5 linked regions of the Xenopus tropicalis genome follow. Each later gene encodes a partner of the first gene's protein in a complex. Links are inferred from orthologs where the notes say so. Each region holds a gene or a part of one and is shown in the gene's direction. Other genes may lie near its edges.

Region 1 (4,075 bases):
CTATACCTGCTATCCTACAGTCACAGTCCCTTCCCAGAGGCTATTATCCCCCCACTGCTACTATAGGCACCATCTCTCCCTACTATACCTGCTATCCTACAGGCACAGTCCCTTCCCAGAGGCTATTATCCCCCCACTGCTACTATAGGCACCATCTCTCCCTACTATACCTGCTATCCCACAGCCACAGTCCCTTCCCAGAGGCTATTATCCCCCTGCTACTATAGGCACCATCTCTCCCTACTATACCTGCTATCCCACAGCCACAGTCCCTTCCCAGAGGCTATTATCCCCCCACTGCTACTATAGGCACCATCTCTCCCTACTATACCTGCTATCCCACAGCCACAGTCCCTTCCCAAAGGGTATTATCCCCCACTGCTACTATAGGCACCATCTCTCCCTACTATACCTGCTATCCCACAGCCACAGTCCCTTCCCAGAGGCTATTATCCCCCCACTGCTACTATAGGCACCATCTCTCCCTACTATACCTGCTATCCCACAGCCACAGTCCCTTCCCAGAGGCTATTATCCCCCACTGCTACTATAGGCACCATCTCTCCCTACTATACCTGCTATCCCACCGCCACAATCCCTTCCCAGAGGCTATTATCCCCCCACTGCTACTATAGGTACCATCTCCCCCTACTATACCTGCTATCCCACAGCCACAGTCCCTTCCCAGAGGCTATTATCCCCCCACTGCTACTATAGGTACCATCTCCCCCTACTATACCTGCTATCCCACAGCCACAGTCCCTTCCCTACCTACTATATTCAATATATCACAGACTCTTCCCAGAGGCTACTATTTACACTACTTTGCAAAAGCTGAACATGCCCTTTGACAGCATTTTGACGAAGACAACTATGTCAAATTTAGAAAGATTAGTAGTTAAACTGGCAAAAAGTAATTTACTCCAACTTTTTAAAAGAAAATAAAAACAGTGTGGCATAAAAAGAAAAACATTTGATATTTAGACAAATGCCAAATTTATCTTCTCTGAACAGACATATTGTATAATATTTATTTTCTGGGCTCCAGCAGTTGCACCTCACTGATGGTGGCTGTGTAATGCATGATTAGAGCTAACTGCTGATAGTTGCCAGTACATTAGTTTTGTGTTCCCCTTTAAGAACACATAATGATCAATGTACAGCGCCTTTCCACTGAAAGGGCTGTGCTTCATGTTGTGTTTAGTAAGCCTGAACACTAACAAAGGGAAGCTCTACCCTATATAGTTTTACTGCTGAGCAGAACCTAATTAGTTTAGAATCAGTTACACTGCCTGATGCTCGTTAGGACTTGCTGACAAGCACTGCCCCCACTGGCTTATCCCTACTGCACCAGGATTTACTTGTGAATGTCATTGTAACGCAGATTTGGTGAATCAGCCGAGTTCTATGTTTGATTCATCAGCGAGAAATTATATCAGACTGAAGGTAAAATGATTCGCTTAAGTATATGAATTTAATATCATGTCTATAATTCTATTAATCTATGAAAACACCCAAATGTAAGATGTGTTAAAGCACAGATATAAGCACATTTTAGGCCATTATAAAATCAGTTACAGTTGGATCAATGATATTTAGCAGCATTGGCACAGATTGGCATATTGGGGCTTGCATTTATTGACTTCTACTGAAGCTGAATGTTGAAATGTTTTTGAATGTATTATTTAATAATGAGTTAAGCTTGTTTGCCTAAAGTGGGCCTATGAAAATAAATGCCTTTTAATATTTTATTGTTCAACTTGGGGTCCTTCAGCTGCTGGAAGCTGCAACTCTTAGTGCTCTTAGCTGGGTGTGGTTGGGGCATGACAGGGAATGCTTTAGGGCAGGACATAGAGAGCTTCTAGTCCTCATCATGTCCTTTGTAGAAGTACAAATAACAATCATTAAAAATGTATATTCTTATATACATTCTTAGTTTTTACATTTACAGTGTTGCCTGTGGCCCTTCTAGTTTTGTTCAACTAGAACATTCAATGTCAGCTGATGACTTTCAGGTGATTATAGCAGCTGTACCTGGGGGCCTATTTAGTGTGCTGAGTAAAATGGCAAATGTCACCATCTGAAAGCCAGACTTTATGCCATTATTCTATGCAAGCTACGTAATTACATTGTTTTTTACACAGCGAAGCCTCGCAATGAATGACGAATTTTGCTGCCATTTTTGCACAGCATAATAAGTAGGCATCTTAGTGTGCTGTAATTGGTGCAAACCCCAGCAGGTGTAATTCATTGCTATCAATTATTTTAATGAGAATGTTGTAAGAATACACCTGAGCTTCACTAAAAAAAGTATATAATTTTAAAGGGAAAGCTATGTTGATGAACAAAAGCTGGAGGGCTGCAATTTGGGCATACCTAATTTTTATAGGGTCATAGCGCCTTAACACAGTGAGGTGAAACATCTCAAAAAAAATGGTACGGCCGACCCATCAAATCAAATGGTACGGTCTGACCCCCCCTCAAATCAAATGGTACGGTCCGCCCCCTCCAAAAAATGGTACGGTCCAACCCCCCCCTCGAAACAAATGGTACGGTCCAACCCCCCTCCAAAAAATGGTACGGTCTGATCCCCCCTTCAAAAAAATAGCATGGTACGGCCTGATCCCCCGTCGGAAAAAAGTGGTACGGTCCGACACCCTCTCCAAAAAAATGGTACGGTCCGATCTCCCCCCCAAAAAAATGGTACGGTCCGACCCCCCCCTTCAAATAAAATGGTGCGGGCTGACCCCCCTCCAAAAAAATGGTACGGTCCAACCAAAATTTTTTGGAATGGGGGTCGGACTGTACCATTTTTTGGAGGGGGGCGGGGTTGGACGTACCATTTTTTTGAGAGGGAGGGATGGACCGTGACATTTTTGGAGGGGGGGTCGGACCATACCAATTTTAAGAGCGGGGGAGGTCGGACCGTACCATTTTATTTTGGAGGGGTAGGACCGTACCATTTTTTAGAGGGGATGGGGACGGACCGTACCATTTTCAAGAGCGGGGGGGTCGGACCGTACCATTTTTTAGAGCGGGGAGTCGGGCCATACCATTTTTAGAGGGGGAGGGGACCGTACCAATTTTTTTCGAGTGGGGGGGGATGGACGTACCAGTCGGACCGTACCATTTTTAAGAGCGGGGGTCGGACCGCACCAATTTTTATGGGGGGATAGGACCGTACCATTTTATTTTGGGTGGGGGGGGGAGTCGGACCGTACCATTTTTTGAGTGGGGGGGATGGACCGTACCATTTTTAAGAGCGGGGGGGGTTTCGGTCCGTACCATTTTTTTCGAGTGGGGGGATGAACGTACCATTTTTAAGAGTGGGGGGTCGGACCGTACCATTTTTAAGAGTGGGGGGGGGGGTTCGGACTGTACCATTTTTTGAGTGGGAGGGGGGTCGGACCGTACCATTTTTAAGAGCGGGGGGGTGATGGACCGTACCATTTTTAAGAGCGGGGGGGGTCGGACCGTACCATGTTTAAGAGCGGGGGGGTTCGGACTGTACCATTTTTTGAGTGGGGGGGGGGATGGACCGTACCATTTTTAAGAGCGGGGGGGTCGGACCGTACCATTTTTAAGAGCGGGGGGGGGGGTTCGGACTGTACCATTTTTAAGAGCGGGGGGGTCGGACCGTACCATTTTTTGAGGGGGGGGGTGGACCGTACCATTTTTAAAAGCGGGGGGGGGGGGGTCGGACCGTACCATTTTTTGAGTGGGGGGGGGGATGGACCGTACCATTTTTGAGTGGGGGGGGGATGGACCGTACCATTTTTAAGAGCGGGGGGGGGTTCGGACCGTACCATTTTTTGAGTGGGGGGGGATGACCGTACCATTTTTAAGAGCGGGGGGGGGTTCGGACCGTACCATTTTTTGAGTGAGGGGGATGGACCGTACCATTTTTAAGAGCGGGGGTGGTTCGGACTGTACCATTTTTGAGTGGGGGGGGGTGGACCGTACCATTTTTAAGAGCGGGGGGGTCGGACCGTACCATTTTTAAGAGCGGGGGGGTTCGGACTGTACCATTTTTAAGAGCGGGGGGGGTCGGACCGTACCATTTTTGGAGGGGGGG
Region 2 (3,031 bases), on another chromosome or scaffold:
CCGGTCGGCTCGGCCCGCCCCTGATCTCGGCTATTATTATGCATTATATAGCACCACGATATTCCACAGCACAGGTACTTTATGTTTAACTTGTAGTGACACACCTCTGCTTCCATCAGTTCAAACACTAAACTTTCAGGTCTGCACTGGGGACTCCAGTTAACAAAACATTCTTTTTTTATGCACTGGTGTTAGCGGGTAGTAGTTCTAAATCTTGCCTCTCAATTACTTGTAGGACTCGAAGGCTGCAGAAGACAGCTGTACCTTGCGGGATGTGTCAGAAGGCCATATTGGGAAGCTATTTGTACGCAAGTCTGGCAAGGTTCAGCTTAAGCTGGGCAAAGTCATGCTGGATGTTACTATGGGCACATCCTGTTCATTCTTGCAGGTGAGTAGACTTTTATAGGGATAGTTTTTCAAAGGATTTGTACAACATGGTACTTGTAAACAGTTGAACCTACTATTTGTGGTTTTCGATTTTGCCTTTTGTTCACCAGCTTGCCAAACTGATAACCGCATAAATTGTAGCAGTAATAAGGTAGACACACAGTCAATCTGATCCTCTTTCTAGCTGCTAGATAGAAGGGAGGCACAGTACAGAGCCATAATTTGCAGAAAACCACAGCAAACTGGACACACTTCAACATAGTAATTTAAAGGAATACTGTATTTGGAAAACATGTTTTTTCAAAATGCACCAGTTTAATAGAACTTTTTCCTGCAGAATCCTGCATTAAATCCATTTTGTAAAAACGCAAACAGATTTTTTTTTTATATTTAATTTCATATGGCGCTACCCATATTCTACATTTCCCAGGGTGCTACAGCCATGTGACTTGTTCTCTGATAAACTTCAGTCACACTTTACTGTTGCTCTGCAAGTTGGAGTTATAGCCCCCCCTCCCCCTTTCCCACACAGCAGCCGATCAGCAGAACAATGGGAAGGAAGCAAAATAGCAGCTCCCATGAGATATCAGAATAGCACTCAATAGTAAGAAATCCAAGTCCGGCTTGGGACTCCTCCAGTTACATGGGAGCAGGAGAAACAATAGGTTACCTGAAAGCAGTTCTAATATGTAGCGCTGCCTCCTTGTAAAAGCTCAGACTCGGGCACAATGCAGATGGTGCCTGCACACTAATATTACAGCTAAAAAAAATTTTTGGTTCAAGAATAACATTTCAAATGGCAGAGTGAAATATTTGCTATGTGAACAGTGTAATTTAGAAATATAAAGTATACCATAAAAATAACGACCGAATCCCTTTAAGTGATTGGCTTGGCTTAAAGGATAAGTAAACTTAAAAAAAAAATGTAAAAACAAAAATGTAAGCACTGCATGTAAGCAATTTACATTGTTTTTTCAGTCAAAGCTATTTAGGTGTTCATTATCCACCAGTGCAATGAATTTTGTAACAGCACCACCTGCTGGTCCGTTCTAGTAACTGTATAGTCACAGAGATATACCTTCTGAGGAAAAAGGAGTGTTCTGATGTTGCTCTGCTCAGGAAGTAAATGATAAAGGACATCTAAGGCTTCTGATTGTCTTCCTGGGGAGAGGAACATCAGAACACTTTTATAATTCTCTATTTTACTTCTGAAGGTATATCTCTTTTATTGTTTTTGACTGTACGGCTACAGGAACTGTAAGTTTTAGATTACGGTTGACTTATCCTTTAATGCAATGTCAGCATCTGTTTGTGTTGCCAAATTACCCAATATGCAACTGATTTGCACTGGTTGGATATCGTAAAAATGAACCTGTGTAAGGTTGAAAGGTAATTTTTCCTCAGGATGGCTAGACGGTGCGTATAAATGTTTGTATGTTTCACGTTTAATTCTAATATTTGTGATCCCTACTTTTCTCTTTTTTAGGAGCTGGTGTCAGTCAGTGTTGGTGAATCTCGTGGTGGGGAGATGATGGTCCTGGGCCATATTCAACACAAACTTGTGTGCTCCCCAGATTTTGAGTCTCTGCTGGAAAAAAGACAGGGCTAAACACTTCCCTTTCCTTTCTAATACGATAGCCTGTCACATTGTCTGCTCTGATTGTTAAACAACACTCATGTTCAGTAGACGACATTCTGAGTGGTTGTGCTCCAGAATGATCAGATGGTGGTTGCAATGCCTTCTCTGGTCCTGTGACATCACTGCTTTTAGACCCAGTAGAATTCTTAAAGATCATTTTCTGCAGCAGGATGTATGGAGTGAAAGGTAGAGCCTGCAGGCAAGCCCTCTGCAACATGGCAGCCCAAAGTGTGGAATTTACAGCCACAAACTCATGCCAGCATACACAAAACTAAATGTGCGAAGATGTATAAATAGGGATTCCAAGGCCTTGGCAATGCATCTTTTCCTTGAGGACCTGGAAGAGTATGTAGGGAAAAAATAAACAATGGACATACGTTTGGAAAGCTTCAATTGAATAATATAATGTCTGTTTCTTTTGAAGAAAATGTATTTAAATTAAATATATGTATATATTGTTTCTTTCAAAGATGGAATAAATAAGACTTTATGTTAACACTATTAGTTTATGAAATGTATGCCTATATATAGTAGAATTAAGTCTGAAGGAAATGGGCAGAAAGTATCATGACCTGGATGAATGGAAACTTCATTACTTATCAGTCATAAATTTTTGTCTATGAATACATGCCACTGCTATTAACTGGTACTAAATTACTACAGGGCACAAGCCATATTAGATAAGGTATACAGGTATGGGATCCATTATCTGGAAACGCGTTATCCAGAAAGTTCAGAATTACGGAAAGGCCGTCTCCCATAGGCTCCATTATAAGCAAATAATTCTAATTTTTGAAAATGATTTCATTTTTCTCTGTAATAATAAAACAGTGCCTTGTACTTGATCCCAACAACACCATTTGGAAAAAAAAAAGCTGCATTTTTTCCCTGCATTCCCTGTGATGAAATGCATGAAAGATCCACCACTGGAGAACGCAGGCTCAAAAGCCTGTGTGTAACATCCTGAAGCCAGCTGTTTACCTGTCATGTTCCAGATGAAATTCC
Region 3 (4,142 bases), on another chromosome or scaffold:
CCCTGTTCCCCGACTTCACTGGGCCTGGGCCCATGCCCTGGGCTCTCAGCACACATCCACTTTGTCCCTAAGGTGGAAGCAAACAACAGGAAGGTGCCACTCCTCTCCCAACACTATACCAAAGTCAGGCAGGATGTGGTCACTATACCTTCTGACCAATAGCACACATGTTAATGAACTCACTTAGATACATTCCCTTCTGCCCAGCAACTAAGGGAACTGAACCTGTAGGGATTTAAAGCCATAGGGACCATTTAACCCTATGGGTCCCTACATGTACATGGGCAGTTGACTCAATAAGGCCAAATACTCTTGACAGTGGCATAACTACCTATACAGCAGACCCCATGACCATGGGGGGCGGAAGCTGGGCCATGAGGTCCACTGTGTGTAGTTTGCCATCCATAGTCACTTCTAAATGTCCACTTTGCTGGCTCTCATTTGAGCTTAAGCGTGCATGCCGGGCCCCTCCGAAGATATTTTTTTTGTGGGGGTGGGGCCAGACCACTCAAGGTACGCTACTGTCTCTTGACCAAAAACATTGCACTAAGGGACATTGTCACCATTTGTTGGCCACTGTACCCAACTTTCTGCAGTTCAAATGAATACATTAGAAATTGATTAAATGATTTATTGTATTTGTCCTGTCAGCATTTGTACTTAGCAAAACTTTTAATTAGTCAAACAGCCATAAAATGATTCTGAGGCTATAATTCTCCCAGACAATCTGGTGCATGAGATGAGCTTACATACATGTACTGTACATGCTACACCAGTCCCGCTTTATAAAAACGTATAAAATATAAAAATATTTCAGCCACTGAAAAACATGTAACTAGAAGTTAATGGGCTTCATCGAATCACATAGCATTGAGTTCGAAAAGCATAAGTTCGCAAGCTGCAGAGCACTATCTATGGCGAGCAGTAACCTACAGACTCTTCATTAGTCTAAATTGATAGCACCCTGACTTACCTTGATAAAATATCCCACTGTGGACCCCGGCGCAGCCTTTGTCCCACCTCCCGTTACTAGAGACGCGGTGTAGTAAAAACCTGCTTCCTGACGGTGTCTGCCCTTTTCATTGGTCAAGTCTGGCTGCCTAGCAACTAAAGATGCGAAGATGACGCTAATAAACCATCGCCCATATTTCTTCACACTCTCAAAGCGCATGCTCCTATGCATGACGTATTTCCGCAGCAAATGCTACACAGACGACTTGCTGTATTTGGAAATTGTAAAGCGTGAAAATGTTTGGTTAGCGACAACGTAAATCGCGAAGTCCTTTAGTTAAAAGACGTAGTACCTTTGATTTGAAAATATATTGTCCGCTCGGAAGTTGTTCCGTTCCAAACGCTCCCTTTTGCCCGAAAGCAAAATGGCTGCCGATACTTTCTGCTGATCGAGCTGCAGCGCTAGTGCTACCTGAACTGGGGGTGTTGGGGCGACAGTCGTTAAGGGGGACACGTGGGCAAAGGATAGGGACTCAAATAAACATGTCAGAAGCGAAGGTGAAGCAAGAAGGTGGGGAGGCAGCGGAGATAGAGAACAGGTAAGCGGTGCAAAGCGGAGTATGTCTTTGGCGTTTTGGCTATGTTGGTTTACTTTTTTCAATTACATAAGGTTTAAATGAAAGTCCCTTGCATTAGAAAGACACATTGATCAATATAATCATATTGGCAGCATATGCTTACAGTTATAGCAGAAAACTAAAGTTATTTATTAGTTGTGTCACTTGCTGTCACGCATTGACTTGCTCAATGTCTGTCCCAGGTTATATCCAGCCTTTCTTCAGAGCTGTGGTCCCAGACCAGGCATTAGAACCCTACTAGTATTTTGAAAAGCTTCATGGCAATCTCAGCTATACCTTATCTAAAGGACATGACTACACCTACACTGTGGCTGACTGATGAGACATGAACACATTTGCTAAAAGATGTGGGGTTTTTATCTGCAGGAAACCTAAAACTGTAGAGGCCAGTGTATGCCTATAGACACTTTTGCTAAACATCAGCATACTAAATAAGTCTTGTGTTGAGAATGTAATCTTTTTTTATTTTAGTTTAAAAATCCATATTTTTAACATTTATCAAATGTTTTGTAGTTATAAAGCACTAAAATAAAAGTGTTTTGTTTTTCCCCACTATTGTTTAAATGAGAATAATGAGCTGTGTATAAAGCAAATCCACTCTCTCCTAAGATGTAGCCTTTGTTAGACTTTGTGATTAGGAGCAGCCAGTGCTTATCTGTATACTGTTGATTTGTTTTACCACAAATGATGATTTGGCAGAACCAGGAAACTAGAAAATTTAAGCTGTCAGTGTCTTTGTTTAGTGCAAGAAATAACTAAAAGCCATACATTACTTGGAAAAACTATATTTATTGTTTAGCTCATGGTAAAAAGAAATATACTGCCCCTTAAAGGAAACTTTTAAGGACTGTCTTATAGTAAAAAGGGACAATAAAAATATGTGGTTATGATAAAGTTACACCGAATTAAAAAAAAAACAAGTGTGTTTATGCCAGGCCCGGTCTGACAGTCTATGGATTCTGGCCAATGCCAGAGTGGCTGCTGCAAGATGCCATAGAACGTCACTATGTATTGCACCTGTGGGGGGCTGTTTGGGCCTTTGTACATGAAATTCCTCTTTTGAATCTTAGTCCGGACCTGTAGACTGCCTCTGGTGTATGTAGTACAGCATGTAGTACCAAAAAACATCCAACATCTGTCTACCAATGGAGGGTGGCTGTTATTACAGCTGTCCAAAAAAAAAAAAAGCAGCAATGGCTTCGGTTCTTTAAACATCCTCTTTGTTGTTAGTGTGATTTTTAGTCACATAATACTCCGTTCCAGCCGTTTGTTTCTTGCAGTTGTTGGCTCACATAAGGGGTAGCAGTTCTTTCATACTGGACATGATCTAAATATTCTGCATGTGTTGTGCATTCCTTCCACTAACATCAGGGGCCAAAATTATTACAAATAAAATGTTAGAGAAAGTCAACAGTCTCATAAACACTTAACACAGTTACACTTAAGCTTTTTCTAGTTCTTTAATGGTATTTTTTTCTATATATTTAGGGTTATTGAGCTGTGCCAGCAGTTTCCTCATGGTATCACTGACCAAGTTATTCAAAATGAGATGCCTCACATTGAAGCCAAACAAAGGGCCATGTGCATCAACCGACTGCTGGCAACTGTAAGTTCTTTTATATTTGTTTTCTTTTTGTCTTACATAATGTATGTTAAAACTATGGCTATATGGCCCCTTGTTTAGATTGAGATACTGAGGGGCAGTTCATTTTGCAAGCTAGGAAATACAGAAGTAAATCACCAAAACTACAAAAACAATAATGGCAGTAGTGACAACGTTTTAACTTTATTATTGCCTAATATTACTTGCATTATCATTTTGAATTTAGCCCCTTGCATGTCATAAATATTTGATGTTGCCCCTCTGTATGTTCCCAATAGTTATACACTGCAGAATAGATAAATCAAAGGCTTCTTTACTGTGACAAATGCCATATAGGGTTAAACATTAAAAAGTTTGAACATTTTTACAATCCATTTCAGTAGAATGACTTTAGGCCAGAACATGTAATACCAGAGAGCAGTTCTAGGATATTCTTTTTATCAACAATTTTTACCAACAAGATTGCTCGTTGCCTGTATGGAAACAGCACAAATATCTTTTGATACCTATTGATAATCAAGTATGGAATACACTCCCCAGCATCCCCATACACTCCCCAGCATCCTGCAGCTGCCCACCCCAGCATTCTCCAGCTCCCCCCCCAGCATTCTCCAGCTCCCCCCCCAGCATTCTCCAGCTCCCCCCACCAGCATTCTCCAGCTCCCCCCACCAGCATTCTCCAGCTCCCCCCACCAGCATCCTCCAGCTCCCCCACCAGCATCCTCCAGCTCCCCCCACCAGCATCCTCCAGCTCCCCCCACCAGCATCCTCCAGCTCCCCCCACCAGCATCCTCCAGCTCCCCCCACCAGCATCCTCCAGCTCCCCCCCAGCATGCTCCAGCTCCCCCCCAGCATGCTCCAGCTCCCCCCCAGCATTCTCTAGCTCCCCCCAGCATTCTCTAGCTCCCCCCAGCATTCTCTAGCTCCCCCCAGCATTCTCTAGCTCCCCC
Region 4 (4,242 bases), on another chromosome or scaffold:
CGAAGCCCTTTCAAAGGGCCGCCTTCCCGTCGCGCCGTAACCAAAGCACCCTTCTCCAGCGCAACACCAGGCAAGCGAGCCAACATCTGCCTTTTAACCAAGCACATCAGTCTCCTGAGAGACTGTCAAAAATTGCCAGTGCTGACTATATTTCAAGTCATCACGGCGGGGTATTGGGAAAAGTTTTCAATTAGCAATAATCACGCCTCAGTTTGACCTCATTGGCTATGATACTGCCACTGCGCAAAGCTGATTGGGCCCCTGCCTAAGTTAAGGGGCCCCTTGTGGGACGGGCTTCTTTCAAGTGTGGCTACGGCTGCCCAGCCGATGCAATGGATTGTGGGAATCCATATGCTAACAAAGCCCTTTCCAAGGGCCGCCTTCCCGTCGCGCCGTAACCAAAGCACCCTTCTCCAGCGCAACACCAGGCAAGCGAGCCAACATCTGCCTTTTAACCAAGCACATCAGTCTCCTGAGAGACTGTCAAAAATTGCCAGTGCTGACTATATTTCAAGTCATCACGGCGGGGTATTGGGAAAAGTTTTCAATTAGCAATAATCACGCCTCGGTTTGACCTCATTGGCTATAATACTGCCACTGCGCAAAGCTGATTGGGCCCCTGCCTAAGTTAAGGGGCCCCTTGTGGGACGGGCTTCTTTCAAGTGTGGCTACGGCTGCCCAGCCGATGCAATGGATTGTGGGAATCCATATGCTAACGAAGCCCTTTCAAAGGGCCGCCTTCCCGTCGCGCCGTAACCAAAGCACCCTTCTCCAGCGCAACACCAGGCAAGCGAGCCAACATCTGCCTTTTAACCAAGCACATCAGTCTCCTGAGAGACTGTCAGAAATTGCCAGTGCTGACTATATTTCAAGTCATCACGGCGGGGTATTGGGAAAAGTTTTCAATTAGCAATAATGTGAGGTGCGGCTGAGGGGGTTGAAATCACCAAAGCTTGTAGCTTAGCAGTAAAATGTGGATGAAGTTTACCAGAGTGCACGTTACATGGCTGTGGCACCCTGGGAAATTAAGAATATTCCTAGCCCTGTATGAAATTAAAAAAATAAATGTGTTTTTGAAAAATGGATTTTAATGCAGGATTCTGTTAGAGAAACTATTGTTATTATTAATTGGTTTGGAAAAAAAATGTTATTGTTCTTTCAGAAATCACACTGGGTACAAAAAGAAGTAGGAAAAGTGGTTGAAGAACTACACCATTACTATCTATATTCAGCCTGGTGAGGTTTCATTCTACTGGGAGACTGCCTTAGTTTGGGACGTTCAAAGCACTCAGGGACGCATCATACACTTGAATACAAATAACGCTTGCAAAAACGAAGTTGAATCCTACACGTGTTTCAGGAGGGTGAACTCTTCCACTTCCTGTTTCAGCGGTTCCGCAGCCTCCGTTTGGTTCCTGAAAGGGTCACGTGGCGTGACATCATCAGCTGCTCGACTTTTCGCTCGGCTTTTAATTGACCAACGTGAAAAACAGCATGGAAGTGTAAGAAATGTTATTTATAAATGTGTCTGTTTTAAAACGCTTCGAAATATTTAAGAGTTTTCTGCCATTTGCTTTCGAGCTGCTAATGAACGTGTGCGAGTGAAAGCTGGGTAGGCAGCAGCATGGTGTTACCTGAGAAATCATTCCAAAACTTCCGGATTGTATACGTGCTTAGCTGTATGTGGTTTCGATGTGTGTTTTTATGTGTTTTGCTGATTGACAGTAAGTACTTTACAATTACATATATAGTGGAACAGAGTAAAGGTTTATATCAGGTGATATTTACAGGGGGCTTATAAGCATTTTCTTTTAAAGAAACGCTTACCTTTGCACAAACTACCGTCTATGTAAAGATTGCACATTTCTAAACATATCTCTAACATAACCTCCAATATTAACAAAAATGCAAGCTAACCCCTGCATGCAGAGAGGGTTGCCGACCCCTGCATGCTTCTGGCTGATGCCGCCTACATAATCTTATGGGGGCAGTGCCAGGTTTGTGCAATGTCAGATTATTGTTGTTTTCATGGAAGTGTGCAGTCATGTGATTCTTTTTCTCTGGGGAATTGAAGCCCTACCTCTCCCTTTGCTTTCTGAGCACCCAAACTGAGAGAAGAGAACACAATAAGAAAAGTACTAATTAATAACATGCAGTATGTTGTTGAAGGCAAGATAGTAGACAAAGCTGACCTTATACTTTATTCAATTGGGTTTTTGTGTATTGGGTGAACCTTCCCTTTATTCATGCTTTTGATGTGCGTATGAGACACAGCTTAGAGCAGGGGTCCCCCACCTTTCTTACTTGTGAGCCACAGTCAAATGTAAAAAGACTTGGAGAGCAACACAAGCACCATAAAAGTTCATGGAGGTGCCAAATAAGGGTGAAGATTGGCTATTTGGCAGCCTCTATGCGCCCTATCAGCTTACAGGGGGCTTTATTTGGTAGGAAATCTTGTTTTTATTGAATCAAAACTTGCCCCCAAGTCAGGAATTCAAAAATAACTACCTGGTTTGGGGGCACTGAGAGCAACATCCAAGGGGTTGGTGAGCAACATGTTGCCCCCGAGCCACTGTTTGGGGATCACTGGCTTAGAGAGTGTACCTAGGTTGTGACTTAATTGGTTCCACATTATTCTGTCTGGTTGTAACAACAAGCCTTCATATCTGCGTTTAAGTAGTGCCACATTTGACTGCATTTTTCCAGACAGCATTCAGCATTTTTATGCACTTACATGCATAACATATGTGTTCTGATGTATTCAGCAAGCATTTAAAGGAGAAGGATAGTTATTTTGGCATTTTACTGCCAATATATTTGTCACATTAGGGCCACCTAGAACACTATATTTATTCTGCAGAAAGATTTACTTGAGTAAAGAGCCCTAAAATCTCCATGCGATTGTTTAAGATTGCAGCTACCATTTTAGCTTGGTCTTCCTAGTTTCCTGCTGCAGTTCTAGAGGCTGGTAGCTTAATCTAGGAAGACCAAGATAAAATGGTAGCTGCAATCTTAAACAATCGCAGGGAGATTCTAGGGCTCTTTACTCAAGTATAGTAAAGCTTTCTGCAGAATAAATATAGTGTTCTAGGACTAGGAGAGTTAGTCAGATACCCAAGAACATGTTTACAAAAACGGTGACAAGAAATCATGTGTTTTTTTGATAGAGGACTCGGTGCAGCTTTTCTGTAAGTGCTTATGGCCGTATTTACATACTTTTCTGATAAAGCTTACTTAGTTTTTACCTTTTCTTCTCCTTTAAATAGATGCACTTTCAGACACCTGATTTTGAGAGACCTTCAGAGTAGATCAAATAAGCAGAAGCTGACAAAGTGTCTTTTGTGGGCATTTTATTAAGCATTCAACTTGACTTCGAGTGTGATGTAGTTAGCAGTATTCTAAGACAGTTTGCATTTTGTCTTTTTATGTTTTTTTATTATTTTACTTTTTTATTCTGCAGGTCTCAGATTTGGAATTTTAACTACTATTTTGTTGCTATAATTCAATAACCCTACCAGCCAAGCAGCAGTTAGGAAGTCAGACTGGCATGTAAATAGAAGAGGGCCTTATTAGAAAATTAAGGACAAATGATGTGCCAAAAAAATCTTACCTATGGTAACTATGTAATAGCGTTAACTTTGGGTCTAGTAACTCACAGCAACCAACCTAAGGAAACTGTATCCCAAAGGTCTTTCTGTGGCTAGTGCTATCGTCTGGTTAAACTCTGATCTCAGCAATTATTTGCTTGAGGTCCATTTATTGGTTAGTTAAATTCAGTGCTCACAGAGTTGAATGAAAATGGACCTATGAATCACAAACAAGCTCAATACCTTTCTGTTGCTAAATAAGAGTTTTATAGGCATTTGTTGGCCTTGTACAAATGATCCAGCCATAATGATTGATTAAACAAATGACATATAGAATTGTTTATTTGTTTTGCCTTATGGTGAATTACTTTTCCTTCCCTTTTTTTTTAGAAAAGATGCAAATGCAGCGCTCCTGAGCAATTATGAGGTTGGTAAAACGGAATATTTAAACATGTTTGTGGTAGATTATGTGTATTCATTATTATCACATTGTAATTGCAGTGCTTGTGGGGAAATGTAATAAAAGCTATAAATGGCTTAAAATGCACAATTAAGAACAAACATTTGCATGTGCTATGTAAAATTATTCAGTAGACAGTTATATAGTGATCTATTGTGTACTGTTATACTGTTATATGTGTAATATGCTCACGTT
Region 5 (4,302 bases), on another chromosome or scaffold:
TATAATCGAATATGTTCTGATGCTACTGAAAGGGACCACCACCTAAGAACACTCATGGCAGATTTCATTAACAGGGGCTACAACCCAAGGATTGTGGATCAATATATCCATACAGCCACCAGGATTCCCAGAAGTCAACTTCTACAATACAAACAAAAAACAGAAATAAATTGAATTCCTCTAGTTGTCACATACGATCCCCAACAAAAGACCCTCAGAAAAATAGCCAAGGATCTACAGTGTACACCTCAAAAGGATGAGAGGCTCCAAAACATATTCCCAGACCCACCACTTCTGGCATTCAGGCAGCCCCCAAACCTAAAACAACTAATAACAAGAAGTGCCTTAATTCAACCCAACAAAAAAGGAACTTATCCCTGTGGCAAAAAAACAATGCAAAACCTGCCCACACATCTGTAATTCAGATTTCAGACACATTAGAGGAATACAACATCCATGGTCAGTACAACTGTTCTTCTTCCAATATGGTGTACTTAATACAGTGCACTAGATACTGAACAGGAGGACTGTATATAGGAGAGACTGGTCAAAGCCTGAGAAAAAGAAATACACACCACCGTTTTACTATAAGAACGCGATTTCTGATGGTGGCCCTGGTTCTATCAATTAGATGCTCTGCTGTACAGTGCTTCGTACATAAGTACTGTAATGCTTATACCATGTGGGGTTGATTCTCAGCACATGAAAAACCACAGGCCAAGAATCAGTTCCTTGGGCATCAGCCTCCTACTTTTCCAGGTCAAACCACTGCGTTGGCCCAGGTGCAAGCATACAATATGAATATCCACTCTAAAATGCTAAATTTACAGTTTCTTTGCTGATATCTGCCATGTGTGCCTGCACCCAGGCCAGCCCAATAGTTTCTGGTGCAGGCAAGGTAGGAGGCTGTCAGCGGAGGGACTGATTATCTGCATGCGGGTTTCCATGCGGCATCAGCCGTATATAAATAAGAATATAAATAGTTTATATAAACAAGCTTCTATGCAGCCATGGAGGAAGCACTTCAAGATAAAAAAAGGAGAAAGGCACAGGATACACAGCAGATACCAGATTAACACGAATATACCACCACTGCATTTTATTACAGAGCATATATGTTATATGATATCCAAACCTGTGCCTTTTCTCCTTTTCAACTTAAATGGCTGCAAGACTTCTAGTTCTGCTTTTGCTTTGCAAAAATTGCTCTTCTCGTGTTATCAGTTTTTGGGAGCTGGACTTAAATGTAGAAATTTAGAATTTCGAGTTAAGTTTTTCAACGCAATTTCCACTACCCACCTTTAGTTCACACCGTTTCATTCAAGTTACAAATGGAACTGTCGCAGATTTCTAGGGCGCCCATTAAAGACGTCATCACCGGGCGGAAACGTGCGCAATAAGATGTAATGTAGGTGAATGCGAGGCTAGGGCAAACGCGTGGTGATCATTCTGCTTAGGCAGCGGTACTGGCGTCTGGAGGATGAAGTGGTTGATGCGAAGTTTGAGCTAATCTGTTAGCAGCAATGTTGCTATTTTGCCCGACGTGTGGGAATGTGCTGATCGTGGAGGAGGGACAGAAGTGCTACAGGTTTGCCTGTAATACCTGCCCTTATGTGCACAACGTTAATCGCAAGGTATAATGAGGTCTTCTGAAGTGATAGAAATATGGTTTTAAGCGGCGTAAGTGTAGTCCTGGTGGCTACGAAGCCTTTTTATGCCTTGTGTATGCCAAGCATTGCTAATTGGCAGATAACATTACATTAGCAACAGTACAATGCGCTGATTTTTAAGTGCGGGATGAATCTGTATAAATTGCTAACAACATATTCTGGTAATGGCTGGGGCTTTTAGCTCTAAATTGTGTAAGTTTAATAGACTTACAAAGTTAAAAAGGTGATCTTATCATTTATGTTTTATGATAAATACTAAATAAAATGCATAGTAAATAGATACACCTGCTACCCCCACCCCCCAAAATGAACATTTGAATATACGCATATGACCTGTGATTTTTTTTTTTGTCTGATTTTTGCTAGTTTGTGGCCAAGGTCTTGCTTTTCTTCCTTTTTGGCTATTACCCTTCTGGGAACAAATCATCATAGAAGGGCACACTTTTAACCCTAAATTCACAATACCCAGAACACCACAGCACAATCACTTCCCCTGTGGAAGTGCATTACCTTGCTAAAGCACACTAATATCATAAATATATATTATAAAATGTGTCCTAACACTTTCATAAATAATATCTAAATAAATACATTTGAATATATATTAATACATAGGGAGTTCTGACCGCTAGATACTTATTTGACAAACTTTAAGGGGAAATACTGTAACCCTATCTTCACCACTTCTGGCACCTTTGACAGTGTTACACTCCACGAGTGGCGCTTACCTGATGGCACGGGACAAACCTGAATCACTCCGCAGTGGTATTGGGAGAGACTGGGTACCTGGTACTTATTAGCGCAGTGCCTCCACCTAGTGGGATCCTGGAGTGCACCTACGGGTGGCCCCACTAGGAACAATAATAATGCACACACAGTACTTGATAAACGAAATAACTTTTATCTGAAATAAAGGGGAAACTAATACAGATAACACTCCTATCCAAGTGGCAATAAGGGCCTTACTAACTAGCTTTGCCAGCGCAAGCTGTCTCACTAACTATGTACAGTCCTTTAGCTCAGTCCCAAAAGAAACAGTTTATATAGTTTAAATCTTCAAGCGCTCCTTTATTACTTTCACTTTAATGATACTCACTCCAGGAATCTCTTTGGGTGATTCACACAGAATCTTCAGGCGAGTCCAGCACTCACAGCCATGCAGTGCGACTACTAGCCCCTTTAGCTACTCAGATGGGATTCCCCTGCAGGTGTTTGTTCCTCCAGTCAGGACTCCTCACAGGATCTCTGTCTCTCCAGGTACAGGGTCTGCCTTCCCTGTACCAGCCTGTTCCAAAGGCCAGCTTCTTCTTGTGCTGCTCCTCTCTCTGAGCCCACGTGCAGCTTCTGGAGTTCTGGGGCTTTTTCTCTCCTCCCACTGACTTCCTCTCCCAGGCTGCTTTGCAACTTCCGGCAGCCCTGAGCTTGCTGTTCACCTTGTTGCTAGGCAGCAGCTCACAGCACAAAGTCTCAGTGCCAGCTCCCCTACAGGGAACAGCAGCAGGAGGGGGGTAAGTGCAGGGACCCAGCACTACCTCCCTACATTCTCCCCCTGCTTGAATGGGCAACGTCCTCGCTTGCCCTTTCTCACCATTCTTATTCTCCCTAACCTTTGGGGGAGATACACAGGGGAAAGCTTCCTCACTAACTGCCCTGACACTTCCCCTGCCTGAAGGTCTACGCATTCCCAGGCCCAGTCTCTTACTTTTATTGGGGGTGCCAGAGTGCTCAGAGACCATCCTCGTGCCACAGGATTTCTCTTCACAAATATTCACTTCACATGGGAAAGATGTCACATATACATCAGTGAAGTCTTCATTCCGTCCCCAGTCACAGGTGTGGGAAGTATGACCGTACCAACCACAGGTGTAACACCTCACCTGATTACGTCTCTTCCGATACCTCTTTTGGGGTGGCTTCCTCACAGCACAGCCATATGAAATAACTTCTGTAGCTGCAGCATTTTCACGTTGCGTCGGACAGTGTGGGGATATATGGCCCAACCGGCCACAACGGAAGCACTTTGGTGGGTCACCGCGAGCACCACCTGCTTTAGGAAATGAAGAGGGTCTAGACATAGTTGACCCCTCTTCCTTTTCGGACACACGAGCCTTGAGCTGAGCAACCTGTTTTTTTAACTCGGCAATCTCTTCCGCTTTCTGCGAATCACTGGATGTCCTTTCAGAACCACGTCTTTTCTTCTCTCGTCGCAGAACATTAACTTCCTCCTTTCGGATCTCACGGATCAGCTCCTGATAAGTTGGTTCTTTCTTTCCTCTGTAGAAAGATCTCAACATCACAGCTGTGGGGTCCATAGATAAAGCCCCTCTGAATAACTGTTGTAGCCTCATAGAATCAACACGATCTGTAGCAATGATTCTTCGGCAAACAAGTAATTTTAGCATTTGCTGCAGTCGCTTCAAGTACTCAGACAGATTCTCTTTTTCTTTCTGCATGCAAGACTGAAATTTGTACAACATTTCAATTTCATCTTCCACCGGTCCATATGTATCTTCCAGTACGTCTATCAACTTCTCAGGACCATCTTGTGGGCACACCTCTCGTTGGAGCTTAATTAGGTCCAATGCAGGCCCTCGCAAACTCTCCTGGATCTTGCGACATAAAGCAGGGCCAG

Evidence for each region.
Region 2: polr3g (region 1) and polr3d share a complex: the UniProt entries of both Homo sapiens proteins name them as parts of the RNA polymerase III complex. The link is inferred for Xenopus tropicalis from reciprocal best matches to the Homo sapiens genes POLR3G and POLR3D.
Region 3: polr3g (region 1) and polr3f share a complex: the UniProt entries of both Homo sapiens proteins name them as parts of the RNA polymerase III complex. The link is inferred for Xenopus tropicalis from reciprocal best matches to the Homo sapiens genes POLR3G and POLR3F.
Region 4: polr3g (region 1) and crcp share a complex: the UniProt entries of both Homo sapiens proteins name them as parts of the RNA polymerase III complex. The link is inferred for Xenopus tropicalis from reciprocal best matches to the Homo sapiens genes POLR3G and CRCP.
Region 5: polr3g (region 1) and polr3k share a complex: the UniProt entries of both Homo sapiens proteins name them as parts of the RNA polymerase III complex. The link is inferred for Xenopus tropicalis from reciprocal best matches to the Homo sapiens genes POLR3G and POLR3K.

The regions. Positions count from the first base shown.
Region 1 is NC_030677.2:178,954,526-178,958,600, reverse strand, and holds the start of polr3g (DNA-directed RNA polymerase III subunit RPC7), read left to right. Parts: upstream 1-1,263; 5' UTR 1,264-1,446; intron 1,447-4,075. UniProt on the Homo sapiens protein: DNA-dependent RNA polymerase catalyzes the transcription of DNA into RNA using the four ribonucleoside triphosphates as substrates.
Region 2 is NC_030679.2:129,697,212-129,700,242, forward strand, and holds the end of polr3d (DNA-directed RNA polymerase III subunit RPC4), read left to right. Parts: intron 1-235; coding exon 236-388; intron 389-1,873; coding exon 1,874-1,996; 3' UTR 1,997-2,527; downstream 2,528-3,031. UniProt on the Homo sapiens protein: DNA-dependent RNA polymerase catalyzes the transcription of DNA into RNA using the four ribonucleoside triphosphates as substrates.
Region 3 is NC_030681.2:38,387,685-38,391,826, forward strand, and holds the start of polr3f (DNA-directed RNA polymerase III subunit RPC6), read left to right. Parts: upstream 1-1,332; 5' UTR 1,333-1,494; coding exon 1,495-1,550; intron 1,551-3,077; coding exon 3,078-3,195; intron 3,196-4,142. UniProt on the Homo sapiens protein: DNA-dependent RNA polymerase catalyzes the transcription of DNA into RNA using the four ribonucleoside triphosphates as substrates.
Region 4 is NC_030678.2:97,817,154-97,821,395, reverse strand, and holds the start of crcp (DNA-directed RNA polymerase III subunit RPC9), read left to right. Parts: upstream 1-1,432; 5' UTR 1,433-1,494; coding exon 1,495-1,502; intron 1,503-1,526; exon of another isoform or gene 1,527-1,724; intron 1,725-3,977; coding exon 3,978-4,014; intron 4,015-4,242. UniProt on the Homo sapiens protein: DNA-dependent RNA polymerase catalyzes the transcription of DNA into RNA using the four ribonucleoside triphosphates as substrates.
Region 5 is NC_030685.2:40,340,911-40,345,212, forward strand, and holds the start of polr3k (DNA-directed RNA polymerase III subunit RPC10), read left to right. Parts: upstream 1-1,489; 5' UTR 1,490-1,523; coding exon 1,524-1,634; intron 1,635-4,302. Other genes in the region: snrnp25 (U11/U12 small nuclear ribonucleoprotein 25 kDa protein), read right to left, coding at 1,300-1,320. UniProt on the Homo sapiens protein: Core component of RNA polymerase III (Pol III) which synthesizes small non-coding RNAs using the four ribonucleoside triphosphates as substrates. Can mediate Pol I proofreading of the nascent RNA transcript.